Linked DNA regions of Caenorhabditis elegans. The protein of the gene in region 1 interacts with the protein of each later gene in a pairwise test. Each region holds a gene or a part of one and is shown in the gene's direction. Other genes may lie near its edges.

Evidence for each region.
Region 2: the proteins of B0034.1 (region 1) and spe-47 interact in a two-hybrid assay, tested with the Caenorhabditis elegans proteins (one large-scale study listed by BioGRID).
Region 3: the proteins of B0034.1 (region 1) and cup-2 interact in a two-hybrid assay, tested with the Caenorhabditis elegans proteins (one large-scale study listed by BioGRID).

Annotation. Positions count from the first base shown.
Region 1 is NC_003280.10:5,966,498-5,973,176, forward strand, and holds B0034.1 (Glycine rich superfamily member), read left to right. Parts: upstream 1-1,998; 5' UTR 1,999-2,006; intron 2,007-2,043; coding exon of another isoform or gene 2,044-2,213; intron 2,214-2,260; coding exon of another isoform or gene 2,261-2,328; intron 2,329-2,372; coding exon of another isoform or gene 2,373-2,471; exon of another isoform or gene 2,472-2,472; intron 2,473-2,521; exon of another isoform or gene 2,522-3,034; intron 3,035-3,605; 5' UTR 3,606-3,613; coding exon 3,614-3,656; intron 3,657-4,467; coding exon 4,468-4,623; intron 4,624-5,099; coding exon 5,100-5,279; intron 5,280-5,478; coding exon 5,479-5,604; intron 5,605-5,706; coding exon 5,707-5,966; 3' UTR 5,967-6,165; downstream 6,166-6,679. Other genes in the region: B0034.4 (uncharacterized protein), read right to left, coding at 1,638-1,682, 1,730-1,998, 2,044-2,213, 2,261-2,328, 2,373-2,471; B0034.5 (G-protein coupled receptors family 1 profile domain-containing protein), read right to left, coding at 6,359-6,469, 6,625-6,679.
Region 2 is NC_003279.8:2,615,541-2,620,944, forward strand, and holds spe-47 (Major sperm protein), read left to right. Parts: upstream 1-1,988; 5' UTR 1,989-2,019; coding exon 2,020-2,065; intron 2,066-2,114; coding exon 2,115-2,305; intron 2,306-2,348; coding exon 2,349-2,435; intron 2,436-3,093; coding exon 3,094-3,666; intron 3,667-4,516; coding exon 4,517-4,651; intron 4,652-4,698; coding exon 4,699-4,809; 3' UTR 4,810-4,890; downstream 4,891-5,404. Other genes in the region: ctn-1 (Alpha-catulin), read left to right, coding at 308-397, 1,551-1,569; Protein pid-3, read left to right, coding at 5,119-5,283, 5,331-5,404.
Region 3 is NC_003279.8:10,398,476-10,401,944, reverse strand, and holds cup-2 (Derlin-1), read left to right. Parts: upstream 1-1,767; coding exon 1,768-1,917; intron 1,918-1,974; coding exon 1,975-2,151; intron 2,152-2,377; coding exon 2,378-2,788; 3' UTR 2,789-2,955; downstream 2,956-3,469. Other genes in the region: tag-353 (Ubiquitin-like domain-containing protein), read right to left, coding at 1-246, 350-469, 573-652, 704-874. UniProt on the Caenorhabditis elegans protein: Specifically required for the degradation process of misfolded endoplasmic reticulum (ER) luminal proteins.

The DNA of each region.
Region 1 (6,679 bases):
GAACACAAATTTATCGTCAGAGGAAAAAGCTTTCTTTCCCCAAAAATGTTCAAAACAACTCAAACAAAAATATGTATCAATTGAAAACATAACTTGCAACATTTTTGGAAAGCTTCAGATCAATCTTAACAACAAATACTACAATTTGAAGGATATATAAGAAAAGGGACCACCAAAGAGACCAAATGGAAAGAAAGGACAAATGGGAAAAGGTTTCATGGCTTTGGAAGAGGAGAAAGAGTGCCCAGACATACGAATTCGCGCACGCATGGACCGACGGCTCCGGATGTCAGAAGTAGAGAGCACGAGACGCAGACAAGAGTTACGAAATATTGGGGAGACAGTGCGTGAGAGGAAGAGACGCAGAGTGAGTTGCTATGGGAGACCCCGAGGACCTCATTTGTTTTTTCAAATTCCTGCGAAGGTCGGATGTGGAAAATTTTAGTTTGATTGGATTGTTTTTCGAGAAATTCGAGACACTTGATCTTCCACTTTTTCTTCATCAAAAGAGGTCATATTTCATTTTATTGCATTTGTTGAGGGTGGAAATTGTTCCTGCAGATGACTATTATCTACATCATTCAAAAAATGACAAAGTTACGTAATCGGGAAATGTGTGATTGACAGAGTTACGCTGAGATTTGAATAGAAGAAGTGGTAAACATCAAAGCAAAACCTCTTAAGTTTTAATTGGATATAGGTCTCGAATATGTATTGTGTGGTTTTTCAGAAGATTTTTTTTTTAAATTGTTGTATTTTCCAATTCAATTGATTTTAAATTTTAATTTTCTGATTTTTGTGTTAAACTCGGCGCAACTTACTATTATTAAAATTTCTCAGAAGACGATTTAAATTGTATATATATATAAATAGCTTTTGTGTGGCCATTATTTTGAAACTCCATTTGAAAAAAATAATGTGAATAATTTTTCTAACCTATAATTACTGAATGTCAAATACCCATCGAAGATATCAATCTGATTTTGAAACATTATTTTTAAACTTTTCATTCAATCACGACTAACTATTAAAACATGAGTCGAATAACACATACACCGATCATCAAACACCATATTTCTCTCTCGCAACTTGAGCCAATATGAGCATGAACCGATGACAGATGGCCCTGCCATTTAGGATAACATCGTGAAGCGTCAAAGCATAAATGTGCTCTCAAATGGATAATCGGTGATGACTGAAGTGTGTATGTGAGACAGAAACATGGAAAGATGGAAATAAATGAATAATATTCTAATAATCTCATATTTTCACTATTTATCTTGCTTCGCAATGTTCATCATGGTAGCTCACCTCTTGGTTGTTTCTGGGGACCAACTGGGAGAACAGTTACAAATATATTTTAGATTTTTACTGTTTGCCAATTGGTTAGGTTGATGCTGTTATGGGAGACGCCACCATCGTCGCCTTCCGATTTTTGAAAGCTGATTCCCGAAACTGTAGCCTCCTTTTCGATCTGATTGTGAGTTATGAGTTCTTCAATCGATTCTCGAAGTTAGAATTTATTTTTAACCACGAGAAATCAATGAGATTTACAACAAGAATACAGCAAACATTTTATTGACTTAATCGTATTCAAAGGGCAATACATTTTTATTCGAGCTCATTCCTTCGTTGATTCATTTCGGATTGACATCTTTTTCTTTTTCGTTGACAGAAGCTGCCTGTAACTATTTTTATTTTTTATTTTGAATATCAACAAATCACTCACATCTTCATAACTGGGACCTCCTACTTTCTGAATCGATGGAGCATCATGAAGTGTATCATCACTTTTATCATTGATTTTTCCTGGTTTCAGAGCATTACGATGGCGTGCAGTTGGAGTTCGAGCAACTGGTTTTGGCGATTTGGCCTTCACAACATGATTGTCTGGATGAAGTTCTGGTTCAGTGTCAGTCAATGGTTTTTCAGTCAATAATTCATTCGCGTAAATCGATCCTTTTCGAATTGGCTTATGAACCGATGGCATTTTCTTCTCTGAAACGGTAACTAATTATTTCATACTTGTTTTTTAATTCTTACCATCTTTAATATGTTCCGAAACTAGCGGTGGTCCCTGAGCTACAGATCTTTCCGTTTTTTTGGTTGTGGCCACCACCTTCTTTTCCTTCTTTGGAGTAGGAGCTGTAGGCACGGTGGAGTTTGAGATCTTGGGAGATGGCTCAATATTTGACATCGCCTCAGCCTTGTCTCTAAAAATATTAAGATTTGTTGAGCGCTCACATTTCAGATAACTCACTCGTTCAAAGAAGCTTGTTCGAAAGCTGTCACTTTCACTGGTTGCTTATCTTCCACAGCTTTTTTCACCTAAAAACATTATTTTTGAATCTCAAATCATAATAGCTACTTACGGCTGCAGGCTTGGCTCTCTCGCTGGGCTTTTTGGAGAAAGCAGAACATTTGACGATGATTGTGCTAATTAAAACCAAATGAGCTGTTAGAGATAACATTCTGTAATTGCCAAGTGTATTTCTTAAGAAAACAAGAAAATTTAACTCACATACGAAACTATCAAAAGTGACTTCGTAATTTTACAAAATGATGGCTTTTCTGGATTTGTTCCCTTCACGTGTAGAAAGAAACGAGCAAAAAAAATCTTAGTGTTAGCTTTTTAGTTTTCACGGTGAATATGGATATTTTTAATGCTCAAAAAAAAAATATTGAACATGGTTTCAACTTTAACATTGTTAATAGAATCAGATTGATTAAATAAATCTTAGCATAAAAAAACCAATGGGCATACCTTCCTTGGACTTTTTTTTAACAAACGATCTTGTTTACTAATCATATTCTATTTCCCATCATTCTAGAATCAGCAAAAAAAAGTGTGAAACCTGGTGTTTTTAGTCTCCCAAACATCCAGCCTCCAAGTCATCTATCTCCACCTTCTTCTCCTCATTTCAAATTCCTTTTCAATCTCGTTGTTTGTAAATGCAAATTGGGGCCAACAATACAATAGGTGTAAAATGGCATCAGAAGTAGTAGCAGGGGAGGGCAGTCATTCTCTTCTTCTCTGCCCCTTTCACAGCCTTCAATCAGTTTCAGTTTGTATCGTCCATCATTTTCGAGAATACGAGGTGACCAAGGTCAATTCCTTCGGTCCGCCTTGTTTCGTTACATGGTTTCATAGCGAATACTTTTCATAAAAGTGACCAAACCGCTCTTCTACATTTTTTTCTCGCTTCTTCGTCCAACTGAAAGTGATTTCTTTCAATTTATACTACTTTCATCTTATTTAGTACAGATACTAGTATAACTTTTTCCTTTCAATTTCATTTCGCTCATAAAATTGGCTGACTTTTCAGTTATAGTTTTGAATCGTTTCAATGCTTTGACTTCAGTCCAAATTAACTGATTAAAAGATTCAAATTTTTTTAAAGTAAAATTCTTTCTATTTTACAATTGAAGTTATTTTAGAATTTCATTTTTCTGAGTCAATTTTTTTGCATCTGAAATCTAAATTTGAAAATTTTGAAACTATAGAATATTATGTAGTTTTTCTAAAACTGTTATCTTATTTTCTAGGTTTTCAATTTTGCTGTTACATATTAAAAGTATTAAAATTTAAAGTTGAACATTTTCAGCATCAAGAATGAAATCAACACTTCTAATACTACTGTTATCAATCAAACAAGGTACGTATCTTCATATAATTTTCCTCCCGAATCACTATTGTCTTCACTCTGACATCACTTTTAAGACAACAACAGTCACGTTATACACTTAATGATGCTTTTCCTTGTTAATCTCTGAAACCACCCACACCTTCCCAATTTGAGAGTGACAAGAAATTCATTTGTTTGAAAGTATAAACGAGGTTGTAATGAGTCAGGCACTCTTTGAACAATGGAATAAAGAATTCAAAAAGGAGGCAAAAATGTTGTATGTGTGTAATGAATAGATGACCGTAACAGAGGACAAAACACATGATCAGAAAAGGGGGTAAACGGGTGAAGCAGACAGTTTGGCGGGTGGGTCTCATATGATGGCTAATGGGGAGTGTGTGTGTATTTTAAAAATCATTGAAACAAGATCTTCTGAAGCTTTCTGAAGCTTCTGAAGCACAAGGAAAATCACCAAATTTTTGAGAAATGCTGCATTTTTTTTTGAGAAATGCTGCATATTCAGAAACTTACAACGTTCGAATTAGGATCGCAAAAAATTAAAATCGAAATTATTTGCAAATTTTCTTTGATCGGCTTCCAAAATCATGTGTGGTCAAAAGTAATAGAAATCAATTTCCACTTTTTGACTCTATCTGTAAAGGAAAAATTTCAGTTTTTTTTAAATATTTTTCAATACGGTATTCATCCATTTTATCACCCTATAAGTAAAATTATGGTTTTTCAGCTTTAAACTAAAGAGTTAGATCAATAATACAAAAATTTACTATTGAAATTAACTATTGACCTCACTATAATTCACTCGTATTATTCAATTTTACAGGCTCTTCTCAAATAAATCTCGGATCATTCTTTCTCCATCCTCAGCAGAACAATGGCGGCTTCGACATGGGAATGGGACAAGGAGCAAATATTTTAGGATTTGGAGGTGATCGTAGCTTTAATTTAGCTGGTAACAGAGCTGGATTTGCTTTGGGATGTGAGTATTAACACTTTTAACAACAAAATTGCAAAACTCTAAAGACTAAGAACTCTTCGTGTACAGATTTAATAACGTAGGCCTGGCTGCATGCCCAATCGGTAAATTGTTATATGTTGAATAGCTCCTACTGCTCGAAAGATGACCGAGTCATTACAGTTTTCTTTTGAAAATGTGTTGATTACTGGCTTACTATTAGATTCAAACCAAGGTTTTGAAGACTTCCCATTACTTTATATGCGAAGTTATTTTTAAGTTGTACCCAACTTTTATTTTTATAATTGATTTAGCATGTATTAATTATTAAAAATTTAACAATCTTACTATTAGTTAGATATAATTATTTTTTTTATTTATAATTATAACATTTTTTAACAGTATGGACTTCTCAATCTAACTTTCTTTTCATTAATAATTTTCATTTAAATTTACTGTATTTTGCCTTTGATGTAATATTCAATAATTTCCTTTTTCAGCTAATAATGGAGCTCTTGTCGGCGGACAACGTGTTGGAGTTGATGGGGGAATTGGTGGAGGACGTGAAGGTGTTGAAATGGGAAGTCAGGTGCAATTTGGAAATGAGCCAAATCCTGGTCATCCAGCCGGACAGTTTGGAAGTTTTATGGATAATGTCAAAAACTTTTTCTCATTTTTGGGTAAGTTTGACTATAGGAATTTTCTGGAAAGCAGAAGCTAATCGTTCAAAAGGAAAATCATCTGTTCATAAAGTTATCTTGATCAAGCATCAATGTCTTTGTTTTCCATTTCAAGTTTAACACGTACATCATATGAACTTTGAACATCTATAATTCTTCTTTCTCTGGAACTTTTTCTATCTTAAATAAAAAATTACAGGTCGTGGAATGCCAATGCCCCCTCAACAACCACCTCCATCACCTCCATTCTCATTGGGAGTCACTCGTCCACCAACTTTAATTGGTACTGAAAGATCTGAAAGTGAAAATGGAGGAAGACATAGACGTATGTGATTATATATTTATTGAAACAGTGGGGATTTGTTAAAACAGGAGCTCTATGTTTTTTAAATTTGTTTCACATTCCTTTCACACAATTTTCTTTCAGCTCGCCCATGGTTCCCAGAAGGTGAACAAATTCCAGAAGTAACTGGAGAAATGAGGCCAAAAGAAGGAGAAGCTGGAATTTCTTCATCATCCTCTTCCTCTTCTGAAACTGAATTCATTGGGCCAAACAATGGAGAAATCCCCAGAAAATCTGTCGAGTTCAGTATCGATAAAGAGCCAAGAGAGGAGTTCACTGAGGATTTATTCACGGCACAAACAAGTCGACCACGAGAGTTGCCAGGGCTTATAGAGTTTGCCTAGATTATCTTAATTCTCCCATCTTTATATATTTTCTCAAACATTCCCTTACATAGATTTTCATGACCTTTCTACGGGTTTTGTAAATATTTAAATAGTTCTTGATCTTTTACGCTGCCCTTTTTGAATAATTTAAGTTGAATTGTCAAAAAAATTGCAGAATCACAGCTTTATGAATAAATCTTTATGACCAGCAACAAAAATACGCAGTGAACTATGAAATGGTATTGTTACGCAGAAAGAATCACATCTTATGTGACGTCATGCTTACACTTGAAATTTACATATTTATAAGAATTTAGTCACAATTGTGAAAAAAACCGATGACCCGTTGATCATTTGGAATTACAAATCACAGTTAAAACAATTGAATTACATACATAGAATTGAAACTATTAAACTAAAATCTTTGCAATCAGAGAAAAGGTTTGATGCATCTTTTGTTGATGTTCGCTTTTATGAGTGAATGACTTTTTTACAGCTCTTCGAAGCTCCGGATTGCACAGCTGAAATGAAAAAAAGTATGAGTTGATTTTGTGTTACAGTTTATATCTCTAAAGAAACATCTGAAAACATTTGCAACGTCCCGTTTCAGCCAGTAAATTTGAGGATTGTTACAATAAAATTTCGAACTGACAAATTCAAATTTATAATCACTTACCATATATATTGGGAGTCGAAGTGCACAAGCAGTCACTACCAGAACTGAAGAAAGA
Region 2 (5,404 bases), on another chromosome or scaffold:
TGTTGATTTGCCGGAAATTTCAATTCCGTCAATCTGCTTATTTGCCGTTTTGCCGGAAATTTTCAATTTCGGCAATTTGCCTATTTGCCGACTTGCCGGAAATTTTCAATTCCGGCAATTTGCCGATTTGCCGGCTTACCGGAAAAAATCAATTCTAAAAATCAATACAAAAAGCTCGAACATCAAAATATGAGAAATGCAAAACTACAGTACCCCTACGAAATTTAAAGGCTCATACGAATTTTGCTACCAGCATATTCGAAAATTTCATACAAAAAATCAATTTTACACCCAACATTTTTTGCAGGTTTGGCGCCGGACACCAAGCATCCGACGAGCCGCGCCGCCGACCTCTTCGCACCTTTCCGCCAACAACTCATCAAGCATACACATTTAGGTAAACACTTTTCATTGACTCCGCCCATAACTTGGTCATTTGCAACGAAAAATTGTAAAGTTTAGGCCAAAATGCAGCATGCTTTGGACTGAAGCCTCAAAAAATGCGCATAAGATAAAATAGCTCAAAAAAGTGAATTTGGTAAGAAACTGTTGAGTTGTTCTATAAGTTCTCGGTGTTTTGCTAAGTTTGCTTTTTGTACGCCTGTCCGCGCGGCCGAGAAAAATAAGAAAACTTGGCCACCGATTTTTTTTTGCTTCTTACTTCCTGATTTTGCGATACCAATCTCCATAAATTTGCATAGAATTGGGTAGGTAGGCACGATTTAAATAAGTAGGCGTACGATAGGCGTAAGGTAGGCAAGTATGCCGACGAAAATAAGGCAGGCAGGCATGAGGCAAAGTACGTAGGTAACCTAACAAATAATATAAATTTGTTTAGGTTGTAAGGTAAGCAAGTAAGCAGATAGGCTTAAGGCAGGTACATAGGTAGTCTAGAAAGGCATAGGCACGTAGGCACGGCACTAGGTAATCAAGTAGGCAGATAGGCTTGAGGAAGGCTAGTAGGCAGGCAGGTAAGCAGGACAGTAGGAGAAAGACAAATGGGTAGATAGGCGTAAAGCAGGTATGTAGGCAGCTCAAAAAGACATGGACACGTAAATACGAGGCAGACAAGAAGCAGGTAGGCAGGCATTGGATAGGCAAGTAGGTAGGTATAGAAACAAGCATGTGCAAGCCAGACGGAAACTTAATGAAACTACATGGAGTAGGTAGGTAGGCATTGGATAGACAAGTAGGCAGACGTGTAAGCAAGCTTGCGTGAAGTAGGCAGGTTTTTAGCAAGGTACTACTTACCTCACGCAAACTTGCTTACATGCCTGCCTACTTGTCTATCCAATGCCTACCTATTCTATTCTAGGTCTGCCTCATGCTTATACGTCTTGCCTACCTGCTAAAGTGCCTGCCTACCTACCTACTTCTTGTCTGCTTCCTGTTTACGTGCCCATGTCTTTCAGGCTACCTACGTACCTACTAGCAAGGCATAGGCACATACGCACAAGGAATGAGGTTCAGCGATCTGCGCTTCGTGGCCTCGAATAGGGGAAACTTCGGCCACCGATTTACAGGCCACTTTTCAATTTAATTTTTTGCAGTAGTACAATTGCGAGCTGACGTCATCACCGTTCCGCGGCCGCCCACAGGATCTCTCCCATTTTGTTTTTCAGAGCCCTATATTTTCTTTCATTTCTTCAGTTTTTTTGCCACGTTTCTTCCTCTCTCTCTCTCTCATCTTTCCATGTCATACCATTTGCCCAAACCTCGCGAATATTCAAAATGACTTACTTTTTAAAAATGCTGGTTTTTTATTGATTTTATTGATTTTTTTCTGTTGACTATTGTTTACAAGAAAATAGTTCGTTCTTTCTTTGTGTACTCCACGTGAACAAGAAAACTTTGCGCGTCAAATATGATGTTTCGGCTGTGGAAATGCAATAATAGGAACGTGAACCTTTGAGAAGTATAAAAATAATAATAGTTACGTAATTTTATTTGGAGGGGGGGGGGGGGGCATTTTCAATCATTTTGAATTTTTCACAAGCTAGCAAAGTAGCAAATTCGAAGATGGCGCTTGAAAGCATTGGACAGCGAAGCAAGCAATTTTATTACGGTAAGTGACGTCACTCCCCGTAAACTAGGCCACCTATGACGTCATTCAGACCATGCCGCTGGTGACACCGCAACTCAGAAGCACATTAGCCACGAGAAGAGCCAGATCAATTTGGAAATGACTGGCGAGCCAGGAGGAGGGGAGCGCCGATATTTTGAAGGGCTTGTTGGAACTAAAGAGCTTGTCATATTATCTGCACTGACCATGTGCTTGTACTTGATCAATGGAGAGTATGCACAGGTTATTGATTTTTTGCAGCCGCCATCTAGTTTTCTGTTTTCAGACAATTTGCACCGCGCTGACGTCAGTGCCGCCGGCTCTTTTTTCGTATCGAGTTTTGACAAATCAGATGACTGATAAGCAGGGATATGTGAGTTTCGAATTCCACTACGTGGTCGCGAAAAAAAAAACTCGGCCACCAACGTAATACACCGGATTTTTTCCTCCTTCGTTTGCGCGTAAAACATGGTGCATCGATGTCGGTGTACCGCACGGCCGTATCCACTTCTGGCTTTCTTCACATTTTGAAATGGAAGAGTTTGCCGAATTAGGCCATTTTGTCTCGGCCACGGTCGGGGTAGGTTTACGGCGCGTTGCGTGTCGCGTCGCGGCTCGGTTTTCATTGTGAAACTAAATGTCTTGTCCGCGTGGAGTACACGACTTCTCCACCCGTTGTCCGGTTGGCGATTGTCAGTGGAGCGCGAAAAATGCAATGAGGGAGACTGGAAGCCCGTGTACCCATATTTTTCACAGGGTTCTGGCCTGCCTCATTGAATTTTTCGCGCTCCATTGAAACTCCACACCGACAAATACATTTAGTTTTACAACTGAAACCGAGCCGCGACAAGACACGCAACGCGCCGTAAATCTACCCCAAATATGGCCGAGCTAAAATGGCCTAGTTCGGCAAAAACTCTTCCATTTCAATTTATGAGGGAAGCCAGAAATCCGTGAATAGTCCCCATATAATTTTGGTGGAAATGTTCTAAAAATCGAAAAATCCACTAAACTAAAGCTAATTTTTCCAGCACTCAATTCTGTTCTACTGGACCCTTTACGGGCTCACTGCTCTAATCGATCAATTCGCTGGAACAGCTCAAGGATACAATCTCTGCAAGTGTGGCCTCCTTGGCGTATTTTTCTTCCACGCGGTCCGCTCCAACTTGTCCGCAGTGCCCGCCACCTGGAAATTCGCGGAGAAGCTTGAAGTTCTGACGTCACTGGTTTCACAGCTGGAGACTGATGGTTTTCTGCGGAACTACGATGCGATGACACCAACGATAACCCAGTTTTCTGAGGATGACTCGCTGCAATACATATTCCCAGTGGAAGAGAATTTGGAAATGAGCACAGCGTGCAGTTTCGTGCCGTCACTTGATATGCAGAGCACCCAGAATCCGTCTCCATCTACTTTGAAAACTATGAAAATCGAGGAAAGCCGGAATTTCCAGACCATGTCGGCGATGACGTTGGCCTGCGGTGGAGCTGCAGCAGATATTGTCACCGTGCCGGCCGACCGGATCACGTTTGCCGCTGGCAAGCTGGAAGAAGTTATTCGAGTCACTAACGTCTCGCAATCGCATATTATGTTCGCTTTGAAGGTGAGGTCTCGGTTTGGCGCGTAAAATTGTATGTATTGTGGTTTTTGTGCAATTCACCGACTTCAATGCATCGGACTTTACGCACAAGTTGGTACTTTGTGATTTTCCAAACATTTTTGCTGAAAAAAAAAATTGAAAATTCGAATTTGCGTGTAAAATTAACTCGCAAATTATTACGATATTATCAAAATATATAAACTGACATGTGAAACGTGGCTTATTTTTTATTTTGTTTTTTATTTAAGCGCCTCCCATTTTTTTAAATGAGCTAATAAATAAAAATTTTAACGAAAGGCCAGGAATGGGAGGAGCTTAAATAAAAAACAAAATAAAAAATAAGCCACGTTTCACATGTCAGTTTATATATTTTGATAATACTTAACACAAAATTCTGAGAATGCTTATGGCGCAACATATTTGACGCGCAATATATCTCGTAGCGAAAACTACAGTAATTCTTTAAACGACTACTGTAGCTCTTGTGTCGATTTAACGGCTCGATTCTAGATAGAAATTTTTAGATAGCTAATTAGATATGGATTTTCGAAATATCGATAGAATATTAAAATTAAGCAAAAAAGTAAATAATTCGAAGAAACGAATTGTTTTCATTTCGAAAACGAAACCCGTATATCGACACAAGTGCTAAAGTAGTCCTTTAAAGAATTACTGTAGTTTTCGCTACAAGATATTTTGCGCGTCAACATTCTAGAAATCTAGAAATTTCTAGATTTCTAGAAAATCTAGAAATTTCTAGAAATTTCTAGACGCATTCTAGAAATTTTGTGCTCCCGTAATATACACAAATTGAATTGTATAATGTAAATTGTTTGAAAACCGATAATTTCAGACAAATGCCGACGCCTACCTCATCGCTGCTCCAACTTCTGGAGTTCTTCTGAGCGGACAAAGCATGACAATCCGTGTTGGAGTCACTGGCAACTACTTCGATGATTTTTCGGATCCTGGAGTTTCCATTGATAAGGTTATTTTATAATTCTATTGAATAAAACTTCAATTTCCGATTTCCAGCTCGCCATCGACTATGCTCTGATCCCCAGCCGTTCCTACTCCAAATTTTCCTCCGAGTTCTTCTATTCCCAGAACCGACGTCGCCTCGCAATTCGTGTGTTCTATCAATGATTTGTCTCTTTTCTCGACTTTATTTTATTTATTTTTGTATTTGTAAAAAGCTTTTATGAGTAAAATTGTGTTTAAATCATGTTTTCCTGGCATTTCTACTTCCATGGGAGATTTCGATCCCTAAAACTGAGGTTTCAAACAAGCTGCAAGTACGCTCTACCGTACGAAGCCATTTTCAAACGCGGGAAATTGTTTCAAAAATTAATTTCGGAGATTTCTTTTTCATTTTTTCTGATTTTCTCGGCCTGTTTCTTCAGTTTTCTTGTAAAATTTACTGTTTAATTAATAAAAATGTACATTTTTCAGAAAATGGTTGCCCATCAGAAGGCGGATTTCAAGTCGAAATGGGCGATGGTCGTGACTGTCAATAACCTGAATGACAAGAAGCGAGCCGATTTGAGAGAATTTTCCGAGTGGTTTATCGAGACTTTGAGATTGGAAGGAGCTTTTATTGGTCACTATTTCAATTATGAGGTTATTAAGAGTTAATAATTAATTAATTATAAATGCAATAATTCCAGGCTGCACCGGTGACCATCGTCGAGACTTTGCCAGGCAATTTTGACTCATGCACTAATGCATATCAGAAGATTCA
Region 3 (3,469 bases), on another chromosome or scaffold:
GCGGGAGCGGCCACCCCTTGAACTCGAATTCTCCACGCCACTGCATTTTGTTGAAGCTGTTGGTTGGCGGGAACTTGATAAATTGGTGCAGCGGGAGTTGTCGATGCGTATGTGTAGTAGTGAGCCATTAATCGCTGATGCTCGGAAACTTGAGCTTCCGGAGACAGTTGATTGTAGGCATTCCAGTACTGTTGCCAGGCAACCATGTTCTGAGCATATTCATTGAGAGCCGATCCCGATGCCGAACTGAAAATTAACTTGGTTTTTTAAATTAAAAATATTATTTTCTCGGCAAAAAAACATAATTTTCAAATAATTATTAAAATATCTATTAAACGTTAAAACTCACTTTTGATTTGATGCAGTATTATTTACATTTCTTCTACGAACATCCGCAGTTGGAGTTGTTTGTTGATATGGTTGTGCGATCATCAAATGAAAGAAGATTTGTTCACCGGCGACATGATTTCTAAAATAATTTCAGTTTATAATTAATTGCAAAATTTTCCATCTTTGTTGAAATTTTCTTTATTTTTATAACAGAATTTTATTAACAGTCAAGAAATACTCACCTTTCTCTTAAAACGTCTGCCAAAACCTGTTCGTTGTTCAGAGAAGCTCCAGAAAAAATCAGCCGTTGTGTGACAACTTCCTAAAACAATTCAAAATATTTTTTATGGATTTTCAGAATTTATAATCTCACCGGATGATTATTCAGGCAATTCTTTACATGCTCCTTGACTTCTTTGATTGTCCAACTTGTCGGACACGAAAATTTCAGATCGCTTTCTGCCTGGTACGCCTGTCGGATCGTCAATTCCACATCATCAGATGGTGACACTTGTTCTGGCACAACGTTGATATCTTCCGTCATTCTTCTGAAAATAAGGAAAATGTGATAAGAAGCCATAAAACGACTTAAAAATAGAGAAAAGTCACGAGACGGGCGGCATTTGTGCATTTTAAATGGTTTTAAAGGAAAAATCAATAATTTTGGCGGAGAAAAAGCATTGAGATATTGCAAATAAATCTGAAGGAAATGGAACAGGTGGCAAAACTTGTTTATTCCATCTCAATTCAGCGTCAAATCGATCAATTATGTGTGTGGTGTGACCGACTAAGACACGTTCACTTAAACGAGAGAAGAGGGGTACGGTCAATGGGTCTCGAAGCGATTTGCCCGCCAGAGTGCATTGACGGCGTGGAAAAGCGTTGCTATGCTTCTCTTTTTCTTCTTATTTTTCATTTTTATCTTTTATTTTTAGTATATTTTTCACTAAAATATTTATTTTCAACATATTAAACATAATTTCATGGAATTGAGCAATAAAAACCTCGGTTTCAAAGCGTTTTCACTGCGTCAAGCAAGTCTTGAAAATTACACTATCATAAATGACAAAAAATACTTCGTTTTAAGTATTATTGATAAGAATTTTTGAGAATGGTTTTTTATCGGAGGAAAATAAAACGTTTTAAAGGAGAAAATTGTGATTTCCATTGTTTTTGCTTAAAGTAAAAAAAAAAGTATTTTTCTCATTTGAAATAATTCAATTATTGTATAGATACCTTAAAATCGAACAGAAATATTAACCTGATAATAATTTAAAAAATTTTGGTGCGCGAAAAACATAAATTTCAACATGTTAAAGAAAAATCGATAATTTGGTACACGCGTATGTATTTCCTTATCCTACGTCAGCTTTTATTCTCTACGGTTCTTTTCATCTGTCCTTTTCAATATTTCACTGCAAATCAATACATTTTCAGATGGATTTAGAAAATTTCCTTCTCGGGATCCCTATTGTGACACGATATTGGTTCCTCGCATCCACAATTATACCGCTTCTCGGTAGATTCGGATTCATCAATGTACAATGGATGTTTCTACAATGGGATCTCGTAGTCAACAAGTTCCAGGTACACTTTTATTATTTTGTCCAGAAATTATATAAGACTAATTGTTAAACATTTCAGTTCTGGAGGCCTCTGACAGCGTTAATATATTATCCAGTCACACCGCAGACGGGATTCCATTGGCTGATGATGTGCTATTTTCTTTACAACTATTCAAAAGCATTGGAAAGTGAAACATATCGCGGAAGATCAGCGGATTACCTTTTCATGCTCATTTTCAACTGGTTCTTCTGCTCGGTACGGTTTTAAATCTTTGTTTTAAAAATATCCTGAAAAAATTTTAAATCCCAAAACTTTTATATTTAAATGTTCTCTTTTATCGAGTTATTAATGCGAATTTTGGAAGATATAATTTAAAATATGTTAAAGCTGGCTCAAAAAAAAGGAAATAACATTGCAATATCCTGCATAATTTTAAAAATCAAAGATAAATGTGTTAAAATGGGAAATAATTAATTTGCAGGGACTTTGCATGGCTCTGGATATCTACTTCCTTCTCGAACCGATGGTGATCTCAGTACTTTACGTCTGGTGCCAAGTCAACAAGGACACAATTGTATCGTTCTGGTTTGGAATGCGATTCCCAGCTCGCTACCTTCCATGGGTGCTCTGGGGCTTCAATGCCGTTCTCCGTGGTGGTGGAACCAACGAACTTGTCGGAATTCTGGTTGGACATGCCTATTTCTTTGTGGCTCTTAAATATCCAGACGAATACGGCGTTGATTTGATCTCCACTCCTGAATTTTTGCATCGTTTGATTCCTGACGAAGACGGAGGTATTCACGGTCAAGATGGAAACATCAGAGGAGCACGACAGCAGCCACGTGGACACCAATGGCCAGGAGGTGTTGGAGCTAGACTTGGAGGAAATTAACAATTGTGATTCTCATTCAGTTTGTGCTTATATTTAGTAATTTATTTCCTTTTTCCTTGTATTGCCTTGCCCCTAAAATAATTATTGGGAAACATCCAAATTACATCAGTCACGAGTCAGTTTCATTGTATCACGCATGTAAATAAGAAGATACGAATAAAAAGTCATCTAAAGTACTGTTTCAGCTCATCATAATATAATTCAGAAAGCATGAGATCAAAGTGGATGCGACAGCCAGAATCGAATAAAAGCTTCGCACGACTCAAGACTCTGTCTCCTACTTCATTCGTCTTTGTTGTCACCTTTTTTTTGCGCCTTTTCGTCTTTTCTTTTGTCGCCGCCAAATTTTTGTCTTTTTCGTTGTCGTCTGTTGCTCTACACATAAAGTTTCAAAAAATAAGTATGTCAAAAACGGGGGGCGGGAAAGAAGAAAAGGGATAACAAATTGCCTTGTCGGAGAGAAGAGGACACGACAAACTCTTCCAACGACGGCTGAACCTAATGGCCCATTTCAGAGAAAGAGAAGAAGGATAACTCTACTTCTTGTATTATTCTAAACTCTTTGTTTTTCTACTGATTTGTTGCTTTTGAGATTTGAAAATAGAACGCTAGTGTTACTATAGAACAGCTGTCGGAAGCCACTCGAAAAAATATTAAAAGCTCCAAAATTCAGTAAATAAA